Callithrix jacchus: one gene and its partners. The protein of the gene in region 1 purifies or fractionates together with the protein of each later gene. This does not show direct contact. Links are inferred from orthologs where the notes say so. Each region holds a gene or a part of one and is shown in the gene's direction. Other genes may lie near its edges.

Evidence for each region. Proteins that work in one complex are often made in the same cells at the same time.
Region 2: the proteins of DERL2 (region 1) and VCP purify together in Homo sapiens (affinity purification with western blotting; 4 studies listed by BioGRID and IntAct, with this or other methods). This does not show direct contact. The link is inferred for Callithrix jacchus from reciprocal best matches to the Homo sapiens genes DERL2 and VCP.
Region 3: the proteins of DERL2 (region 1) and SERPINA1 purify together in Homo sapiens (affinity purification with western blotting; 3 studies listed by BioGRID). This does not show direct contact. The link is inferred for Callithrix jacchus from reciprocal best matches to the Homo sapiens genes DERL2 and SERPINA1.

What each region holds. Positions count from the first base shown.
Region 1 is NC_133506.1:107,012,693-107,016,343, reverse strand, and holds part of DERL2 (derlin-2), read left to right. Parts: coding exon 1-135; intron 136-369; coding exon 370-460; intron 461-700; coding exon of another isoform or gene 701-704; exon of another isoform or gene 705-1,584; intron 1,585-3,212; coding exon of another isoform or gene 3,213-3,252; exon of another isoform or gene 3,253-3,651.
Region 2 is NC_133502.1:141,939,513-141,943,062, reverse strand, and holds part of VCP (transitional endoplasmic reticulum ATPase), read left to right. Parts: coding exon 1-42; intron 43-676; coding exon 677-810; intron 811-888; coding exon 889-1,024; intron 1,025-1,336; coding exon 1,337-1,449; intron 1,450-1,846; coding exon 1,847-2,011; intron 2,012-2,100; coding exon 2,101-2,223; intron 2,224-2,473; coding exon 2,474-2,686; intron 2,687-3,172; coding exon 3,173-3,481; intron 3,482-3,550. UniProt on the Homo sapiens protein: Necessary for the fragmentation of Golgi stacks during mitosis and for their reassembly after mitosis. Involved in the formation of the transitional endoplasmic reticulum (tER).
Region 3 is NC_133509.1:129,215,670-129,219,320, reverse strand, and holds part of SERPINA1 (alpha-1-antitrypsin), read left to right. Parts: intron 1-900; 5' UTR 901-904; coding exon 905-1,550; intron 1,551-2,959; coding exon 2,960-3,230; intron 3,231-3,651.

The sequences.
Region 1 (3,651 bases):
ACGTGTGGAGCCGAAGGAACCCCTATGTCCGCATGAACTTCTTCGGCCTTCTCAACTTCCAGGCCCCCTTTCTGCCCTGGGTGCTCATGGGGTTTTCCTTGTTGTTGGGGAACTCGATCATTGTGGACCTTTTGGGTAAGGCTTTTCTCACTATTTTTTAAATTCTTTTACCTGTAAATGTATTTTGTCACTATTTTTCCTGTATATTCTGTTTGGCTTTCATGTATAAGTATTGTAAAAGACTACAATATTCGTTCATTAATAATTATGCTGCCATTCATCCTAAATATAGGCAATTTATGTTGGTAGGTATGCCTGCAATCCAAATTTTCATTGTCTCCCTCATCCTTTATTTCTGCTTGACTTTAGGTATTGCAGTTGGACACATATATTTTTTCTTGGAAGATGTATTTCCTAATCAGCCTGGTGGAATAAGAATTCTGAAAACACCATCTATCTTGTGAGTATTTACATACTCTTACAGGCAAACTAGGATGGGGGTCATGATCTGTGTTTTCTTGGGCTCTCCTAGCTCCTAGTACACATAGTTGAGGTCAGTAACTATTTACAGATTGAGCAAGCTGGCTGCAGTTGAAGAGCACTTGGATTGGGTAGTAACCGACAGTGCCAGGGTTGTGGCCAGAGCAAGGTTAACAGGCTCAGGATATCTTGTTGAGTAACCTGGTAATTGTTGTTCCAGATGACCACTAGAACTTCATGTTCCAGGAGGAGTCTACTGTTTTTATGAAAGCTGCTGTCCACGTTTAGTGAAGTAAGGTAGCAAAATGAGCAAAACTGATGAAAGTTTCTAATGGTGGACTTTCTGACCTGCCAAGCAGGTGGTTGAGATAAGCAGTGAAGCAGAGTGGAAGTAGCTTTGGACTGGAAACCAGGTATAGCTGTCCTACTGACCAGTTGTATAGCAAGTCCCTCCTTTTTTGAACTTCAGTTTCCTGAAATAGAACAATAGAACTTTGATTTCTTTTTTTTTTTTTGGACATGGGGTCTTGCTCTGTCACCTAGGCTGGAGTGCAGTAGAACTTTTGATTTATGAGACCTCTTTCTACTCTGGAATTTGGTGTCCTTGGGAGATACCATATTAAAAAGGGCTCACTTGAGAAATAAAATGTGAGTTTTTGTTATAAAATGTTTGTTGTAGAATATTTAAGCAAGAAAGTAAAATTGTCCATGATCCTGACACTTGGATGTAGCAGGGGCTGCTATTGTTAACTTTTCTTTTTGTATTCTTCAGACTTTGCTATCTGTGTACTTTTTTTTAAATGCTGAGCCAGTCAAGGCTGTTGTGCACTATGATTGCGCCTGTGAATAGCCACTGCTATTCTTTGGCCAGGCCTTTTAAAATAGCCACTGCATTCCAGCCTGGACAACATAACATATGCCTGTAATCCCGGTACTTTGGGAGGTGAAGGCAGACAGATCACTTGAGCTCAGTGCAGTGGTATGATCGTAGCTCACTCTTAACTCAAACCCCTGGGCTCAAGTGACCCTCCCACCTCAGCCTCCCAAGTAGCTGGGACTACAGGTACACACCACCAGGCTCTGCTAATTTAAAAAAAAAATTTTGTGTGTGGAAATGTGGTCTCTCTGTGTTGCTCAGGCTAGTCTTGAACTCCTATCCTCAGGTGATCCTCCTGTCTCTTGGCCTCCCAAAGCATTGGGATTACAGGTGTGAGCCACCACACCCCACTTTTTTTTTTTTTTTTTTTTTTTTGCAATTGTTTTCTGGCTCAACAAGATATACCAGGCTCATGTTGTGCTCTCCTTGATCCGGTCCTGGAATCAGCTGTTTCTTCAAGGAGCCCTGGTTCCTTTAAAGTGGAGAATGGTATTTAGAAGCCAGGATCTGGGTGCTATATGTGCTCATTGCTATTGAAGTGTTGCTATTCCCAGATCCTCTCAGTGAACAGAGCAGTGGAATTATATCTATGTATGATAATGTATACACATGTATATTTTTAGATCTGTAGATTTTCAAAAACACGGGTTTATGCTATCATTTCTAGTACTACCCCATGGTTCATACTAGCTTTTTTCCTTTCTATTTGTTTCCTCCCATATTTTATTATGAAAATTTCTAAACTTATAGGAAATCAGAAAAAAAATGTGAGCTTCATTTAGGCACCACATAAATTCTGTAATCAATAGTTGCCTGTTCTTTTTTTTTTTTTTTTTTTTTTTTTTGAGGTGAAGTTTCTCTTTTTGCCCAGGCTGGAGTGCAATGGCGTATTCTTGGCTCACCACAACCTCTGCCTCTCAGGTTCAAGCAATTTTCCTCCAGCCTCCCAAGTAGCTGGGATTACAGACATGTGCTACCATGCTAATTTTGTATTTTTAGTAGAGATGTGGTTTCTCCATGTTACTCAGGCTGGTCTTGAACTCCCTCAGGTGATCTGCTGGCCTTGGCCTTGGCCTTGGCCTCCCAAAGTGCTATGATTACAGGTGTGAGCCACCATGCCCGGCCTGATAGTTCCCTATTCTTTTTGCACACCTATCCCTCCATCTAGCTTTCCTGTCCAAAACATATGTGCCATCATATGTATACTTAATTCCTTGTATACTTTAGTATATATATCATTAACTAGAGTTTGGTAATTATGTGCAACAAAATACACAGATATTTAGTGTGTCAACTAATGAATGTTTATAAATGCACACACGTGTATATATCAAGGCAGAAAATTACCATCAACCAGAAAGTTCCCTGATGTCTTTCCCTGTTAGTCATTGCACCTGTCCCCCAAGAAGCAATCGCTATTCTGATTTTGTCCTCTGTAGATTAGTTTTTCATGTTCTGCAACTTCATGAGTAGAATCGTACAGTGTGTATGTACTCCTTTGTATAAGGTTTTTTTCAGGCAGAGTGCGGTGGCTCATGCCTGTAATCCCAGCACTTCGGGAGGCTAAGGTTGGCGGATCACAAGGTCAGGAGTTTGAGACCAGCCTGACCAATAAAGTGAAACCCTTGTCGCTACTAAAAATACCAAAAAATTAGCCGACTTGGTGTATGCCTGTAATCCCAGCTACTTGGGAGGCAGAGGTTGCAGTGAGCCAAGATCACGCCATTACACTCCAGCCTGGGTGACAGAGCAAGACTCCATCTCAAAAAAAAAAAAAGTCTTTTTTTTAATTCAACATAATGTTTTTGAGACTCATCTATGTTCTTATATGTCTTTTTTTTTTCTTTTTTTTGAGACGGAGTTTCGCTCTCGTTATCCAGGCTGGAGTGCAATAGTGCGATCTTGGCTCACCGCAACCTCTGCTTCCTGGGTTCAGGCAATTCTCCAGCCTCAGCCTCCTGAATAGCTGGGATTACAGGCACGCGCCACCATGCCCAGCTAATTTTTTGCATTTTTAGTAGAGACTGGGTTTCACCATGTTGACCAGGATGGTCTCAATCTCTTGACCTCGTGATCCACCCACCTCAGCCTCCCAAAGTGCTGGGATTACAGGTGTGAGCCACCGCACCCGGCCTGTTCTTGTATGTTTTTGTAATTTGTTCCTTTTTATTGCTGAGTATTATTTGATTATAAGAATGTACCACTTCTTTCCATCTGCCCTTTCCAATTGTCCTAACCTGATTCTTAATGATTGTTTTTACCTACCTAATTACCCCCATATGTAACCAGTGTTT
Region 2 (3,550 bases), on another chromosome or scaffold:
CTGTAGCAAATGAGACTGGAGCATTCTTCTTTTTGATCAATGGTAAGAGACTTGGTTCATCTTAGGTCTAGCTAGACCCAATTTTGAATGGGGACTCATGAGCTGGAGAGCTCATGGACCGATCCCTTTTGCATTCATGCCCACCTGCACTTTTATAGTATATTTCTTCTCCTGGGGTATGTTACAGACAGATGAAGAATAAAGGGAAGATACTTTACATTGGTGCTCCCTGTCCTGTCCCCTTTGAGAAAGATTGTGGACAGACCGAAGAGTGGGAGCAAGCTAGAATGAGAAATTAATGGGTGAATGCTTATTGATATGAGAGATTTTCGGGGAAATGAACTTGGATTGCTGGCTCTTGGAGAATACTGTTAGCTGGTAGAGATCTAGCTGGTGTGCCATCTCTCCTGCTCTAGCCATAGGTCCCAGAGCATTTGCTGTCACCTTTATACTTCTAGTTCAACTGTGAGAAGAGTATACTGAGTCCCTGGGCTTCTCTCTAGCCTGGACTGGTGGCTATCCTGTGATAATGGTTGGTAGAGGATCTGAGAAGTAGGCAAAGGTCACCACCTTCTCACCAGGACCTGTCTCTGAGCCAGACAAGCAAGATAACTGTTTTTTGGGTAATTAGGAAAGGCTATAATTTTGTTTTTGCCTCCATTCTGTATTCTTTCAGGTCCTGAGATCATGAGCAAATTGGCTGGTGAGTCTGAGAGCAACCTTCGTAAAGCCTTTGAGGAGGCTGAGAAGAATGCTCCTGCCATCATTTTCATTGATGAGCTGGATGCCATCGCTCCCAAAAGAGAGAAAGTAGGAGCTTACCTGAAGGGATAGTGGGGGGTTGAAAGGCTCTAACTTCACTTATGACCAGACATCCTGTTCTGGCAGACACATGGCGAGGTGGAGCGGCGTATTGTATCACAGTTGTTGACCCTCATGGATGGCCTAAAGCAGAGAGCACATGTTATTGTCATGGCAGCAACCAACAGACCCAACAGCATTGACCCAGCTCTACGGCGATTTGGTAAGCACTCCAGATATATCCAACCCTGCCCTTGCTTACATCTCACCTCTCTCCTTCATCTAAGTCACTTAATCCTCTTGAAGCCCTTTGCAGTGATTAGGTCCAGGGGTCTTTTTCCCTTATCCTGCATCCTGTCTAGACTGACCAACCACTTGGTTTTCCTGAAACTGAAAGGTTTCCCAGGGTTTGAGACTTTTTCACTGCTAACATCAGGACAATCCTATGCTAACTGAGATGGTTGGTCCTGCTAGGCCTGTCTCTTCCCTCTGGACTAGAAATGAGCCCTGTCTGTGTTCATGTACTGTCCCACAGGTCGTTTTGACCGGGAGGTAGATATTGGAATTCCTGATGCTACAGGACGCTTGGAAATTCTTCAGATCCATACCAAGAACATGAAGCTGGCAGATGATGTGGACCTGGAACAGGTAAAGTGATGATGAGGGCTGACTGGGCATTACAATATCTCTGTTTCTAGGCAGTTGCTGGGAACTGGCTTGGAACATAAGGTTAAGATGTGAGGAGATGGATTTTGATTTCTGGACAGGGGAAAGGAAGTGATCTGAGATTGAATCCAGGAAATTGGAGTTGACTTGTTTCTCAGTTAACACTGCATTTAGAGTAAATCAGAATTTCTGGGGCAGCTTTATTTCTAGGCCTCAAGTCCCGAATTGAGTACTTAAAACCCAGCCAATAAAGACATTGCTAGTACATATTCAACGAAATGAGAGGACCCAGGGATAGGAGTCGGGGGAAGGATTTCTGTTGTTTCTTAGCCTCCTGTGGGAGCTGGAGGCAGCATAGTAAGTAGGTCTTTCTCTACAGGTAGCCAATGAGACTCATGGGCATGTGGGTGCTGACTTAGCAGCCCTGTGCTCAGAGGCTGCTCTGCAAGCCATCCGCAAGAAGATGGATCTCATTGACCTAGAGGATGAGACCATTGATGCCGAGGTCATGAACTCTCTAGCAGTTACTATGGATGACTTCCGGGTAAGGACCACACCCCTACCTCAGGTACACACCTAATGTGCTTTGACCCTTCCCTGGTAAGTCTCATCCAGTTTTCCCTTCTTTTCTAGTGGGCTTTGAGCCAGAGTAACCCATCAGCACTGCGGGAAACTGTGGTAGAGGTGCCACAGGTAACCTGGGAAGACATCGGCGGCCTAGAGGATGTCAAACGTGAGCTTCAGGAGCTGGTCCAGGTAGGGTAACTTGGTCCAGGGTGAGTCACTGCCTTAGTGATGTGGGTGGTCTCAGGGTATCAACACATTGGCTGCAAGAGTTGTAAGAGCACAACTTAGGAACCTACTGTTCTTAGGTTTGAGGCATTAAGGAGTCTGCTTTTAGAGAACCTGGATCTGATACCATTGGGTACACCATGAAGCTTCCGTTTGGTTAGGTTTCTTTCAAAATATGGTGGTAGCCTTGAACCCTCTTTCCTTTTTGTCCTAGTATCCTGTGGAGCACCCAGACAAATTCCTCAAGTTTGGCATGACACCCTCCAAGGGAGTTCTGTTCTATGGACCTCCTGGCTGTGGGAAAACTTTGTTGGCCAAAGCCATTGCTAATGAATGCCAGGCCAACTTCATTTCCATCAAGGGTCCTGAGCTTCTCACCATGTGGTTTGGGGAGTCTGAGGCCAATGTCAGAGAAATCTTTGACAAGGTGAGCTATAATAGGGTGGACTCTGTATTCATTTGCCTGGGGGCAAGAACTGTTTTTCTTTAAGAGAGTTGAAACAGTGCTGGCTACTCAACTGGACAGTAATCTTTCTGAGGTCTGAGAGATCCAGTGTTTAGTTTTGTTTTGTTTTTTCTCTTGAGACAATATCTGGCTCTGTTGCCCAGGCTGGAGGGTAGTGGTGCAATCATAGTTCACTTGTAACCTTGAACTCCTGGGCTTAAGCAATTCTCCTACTTCAGCCTCCTAAGTAGCTGGGACTACAGGCATGCATCACCACATCTGGCTATTTTTTTTTTTTTTTTAGAGGTAAAGTCTTGGTATGTTGCCCAGGCTGTTTTTTAATTCCTGGCCTCAAGTGATCTTCCCACCTTGGCCTCCCAAAGTGCTGGGAATGCATGTATGAGCCACTGCATTTGGCCAGAGAGATTTAGTTTTGTTAGAGCTTGACTCAGTCTGTTCCTCCCACAGGCCCGCCAAGCTGCCCCCTGTGTGCTATTCTTTGATGAGCTGGATTCGATTGCCAAGGCTCGTGGAGGTAACATTGGAGATGGTGGTGGGGCTGCTGACCGAGTCATCAACCAGATCCTGACAGAAATGGATGGCATGTCCACAAAAAAGAATGTGTTCATAATTGGCGCTACCAACCGGCCTGACATCATTGATCCTGCCATCCTCAGACCTGGCCGTCTTGATCAGCTCATCTATATCCCACTTCCTGATGAGAAGTCCCGTGTTGCCATCCTCAAGGCTAACCTGCGCAAGTCCCCAGTTGCCAAGGCAGGTGCAAGATCATGGGCTATGGGGGACTTGTATGAGTCCTCAGGCTGGTATGGAGTGCTCTTTGGT
Region 3 (3,651 bases), on another chromosome or scaffold:
TTCCCACCACCCCATCTCCTTTAAAGCAGCACAAACCCCTGCTTTAAAGGAGAGATGAGCTTCTCTAAAGCCCGTGACAGCAAAAGACCAGAACTGGGGACACCGTTGGTGACTCGGACAGCAAGTAAGCTGACTGCAGGCATATCATCCTATTCTTGTGACTGGAACCACAGAGTATTGTAGGGACAGCCCCTCTCTCAGGAAAAAACCCTAAGGGCTGAGGCTCCCTGTGAGTGTTGGGTGGAACAGCCCCCAGGGGATTTAATCTCAGCCCCACCATGCTCTAGCTGGTGCCATTGTGCAAGACACATTTCCCTTCTCTGCAGCAGCTTCCCTGGCCACTAAATAGTGGGGTTAGATAGAAGCTCTCCAAGGGCTCCCAGCGCGACGTGAGTCTTGATTCTGATCTGGCCTGATCCTGGATAATCGTGGGCAGATCCCTTATTCCTCTGGTGCCTCATCTTCTTTCGTGAAACAGTGGCTGTACCACTTGCATCTTAGGGTCATTGCAGTTGTAAGGGGAGCTGCCCAGAGCCTGGACGCAAGACCTAAATGTAGGATTCCAGTTCTGCTACTTTACTTACTCGGTAACATTGACTAGTTGACCTAATCTCCCTGGCTTTGGCTTCCTCATCTGTAAAATGACGATAGCAGCATTAGCACCTCACAGGATTATTGCAAGAAAGGAATGAGTTAACACATGTGAGCCCACAGAACAGTGCTTGGCATATGGTAAGCACTACATACATTTTGCTATTCTTCTGATTCTTTCAGTGTTAGTGATGTCAGCAAGTACTTGGCCCAGGCTGGTTTAATAAACCATCTGTGCTTCTACATGATGTCAATCCCTGATCACTGGAAGTCATCACGTGCCCTGGTCCCCTCGTCTCTGTCTTGCAGGACAATGCCATCCTCTGTCTCGTGGGGCGTCCTCCTGCTGGCAGGCCTGTGCTGCCTGGTCCCCGGCTCCCTGGCTGAGGATCCCCAGGGAGATGCTGCCCAGAAGATGGATACATCCCACCATGATCATGACCACCAAACCCACAACAAGATCGCCCCCAACCTGGCTGAGTTCACCCTCCGCCTATACCGCCAGCTGGCGCACCAGTCCAACACCACCAACATCTTCTTCTCCCCAATGAGCATCGCGACAGCCTTTGCAATGCTCTCCCTGGGGACCAAGGCTGACACTCACACCGAAATCCTGGAGGGCCTGAATTTCAACCTAACGGAGACTCCGGAGGCTCAGGTCCATGAAGGCTTCCAGGAACTCCTCCGTACCCTCAACCAGCCAGACAGCCAGCTCCAGCTGACCACTGGCAATGGCCTGTTCCTCAATGAGAGCCTGAAGCTAGTGGATAAGTTTTTGGAGGATGTCAAAAAGCTGTACCACTCGGAAGCCTTCTCTGTCAACTTCAGGGACCCTGAAAAGGCCAAGAAGCAGATCAACGACTATGTGGAGAAGGGAACCCAAGGGAAAATTGTGGATTTGGTCAAGGAGCTTGACGAAGACACGGCTTTTGCTCTGGTGAATTACATCTTCTTTAAAGGTAAGGTTGCACAATCAGCCTGAGCTGTTCCCATAGAAACAAACAAACAAAAATTCTCAGACCATCAGTTCTTGAACTCTCCTTGGCAATGCATTATGGGTTATAGCATCCATGTCTGCATGGATTCTTCAATTCTCTACACAAAAACACTACAGCGTTTTCCATCATTGAGTAATTTGGGGGAATAACAGGTTAAATTCTCAAAACTGCCGATGGCTCTGCAGAACTTTTCAGAGCCTTTAATGTCCTTATGTGTACTGTCTATGTAGAATATGTAATGCTTAGAACTACAGAACAAATTGTAGTACCCTGCTTAATGGGATAGTTTCATGGAACAGACTTTAGACAACTCTAGTGTCCGGGAATCAGTATCAGCTTTGCAGTCTGAAAGACCTGGGTTCAAATCCTGCCTCTACCACTTATATTAGTGCATTCTACCTCTTTGAGGTGCTAATTTCCCATCTTAGCATGGACAAAATAGCACCCTGACTGTCAGGCTTTTTAAGGATTAAACAAGTGACAAAGATCTTGGGGGGGCGGCGTGTGGCATACAGCAGGTGAAGGACTCTTATGTACCTCAGGCTGCCTTCCTGCCCCTGAGGGGTTACAATGTCACACTTATGGGGGCCCCAGGGCATTCTAAGCCAGCTCCCACTGTCCCAGGAAAACAGCCTGGGAGAGGGGAGGTGGGAGGCAAGCCCAGGCCTGCTTTCCTCCACTCTGAGGCTCCCTTGCTCTTGAGGCAGAGGAGGGCAGTGGGGAGCAGCCAGGCTGCAGTCAGCACAACTGAGGTCCCAGCTCTGCTCTTCAGACGCGGCAGGCCCCGTCCCTCTTCAGCTTCACTCTCCTCCTTCTGTCCAATGAGAAAGCTGAGCTCAGGGGTCCCTGAGGCACCTGCGCACTCTGCATGCCTCGATGGTGAAACTCTCTTGGTATGGCAGAGGGGAGGCTGCCTAGGCATCTGCATTTCCCCTGAGGATCCAGGAAAAGGCCTCAGGAGTAGTAAGCAGAATGTTTGCCCTGAATGAATAACTGAGCTGACAGTTAACTAAGGGCAGGGAGCCCCAGACAGGAGGTACCAAATGTGCCTGATGCTCCAGAATTTTATTTGTCATGTCCAAGACACCCTCAAATAAAAATACAATTCCAATAAAAATGCACAGCCAGGATGGCATCTCTTAGCCTGGCAACCCCACGATGTAGAAACTCTGCATATTCCTCTCATTCAGAATTATCCCCACACAATCCTTTCCGGGAGCTTCCCAGATGGTGAAGCTGAGGCTCGAGAGATGTGTGTCATCAAGGGGGCTCAGGGCTTCTCAGGGATGGGACTCTGGGCTCCTTTATTCTGCCACATTCTTCCAAACTTTCACCCACCCCTGGTGATGCCCATCTTCCTCTCTGTCCAGGCAAATGGGAGAGACCCTTTGAGGTCAAGAACACCGAGGAAGAGGACTTCCACATAGACCAGGTGACCAGTGTGAAGGTGCCCATGATGAGGCGTTTGGGCATGTTTAACATCCACCACTGTGATAAGCTGGAGGGCTGGGTGCTGCTGATGAAATACCTGGGCAATGCCACCGCCCTCTTCTTCCTGCCTGATGATGGGAAACTACAGCACCTGGAAAATGAACTCACCCACGATGTCATCTCCAAATCCCTGGAAGCTGAAACCAGAAGGTAATTCCCCAACCTGAGGCTGACCAAGAAGCTGCCCGCACCTCATAGCCATATTGGGACTGAGGCCCATCAGGACTGGCCAGAGGGCGGGGGAGGGTGAACCCCACATCCCTGGGTCACTGCTACTCTGCATAAACTTGGCTTCCAGAATGAGGCCACCACTGAGTTCAGGTAGCACCATCCATGCTCCATGAGGATGACAGTACCCAGGGGCGAGGAGGTAAAGGTCTAGTCCCTGGGGACTTCCCACTCTAGCGTAGACACTGTCCCTTCCCAATATTCAGGGCCCAGGGCAGGGACAGCAGCACCATCACATGTTCTTGCAGAACCAAGAAGGAACAGATGGCAAAGGCAACAGTGGAGTCAGGAGTTCAAGGGTAGACTGTCCCTGGGGGAACGGGGGAAGCGCCTGTGTGACAAG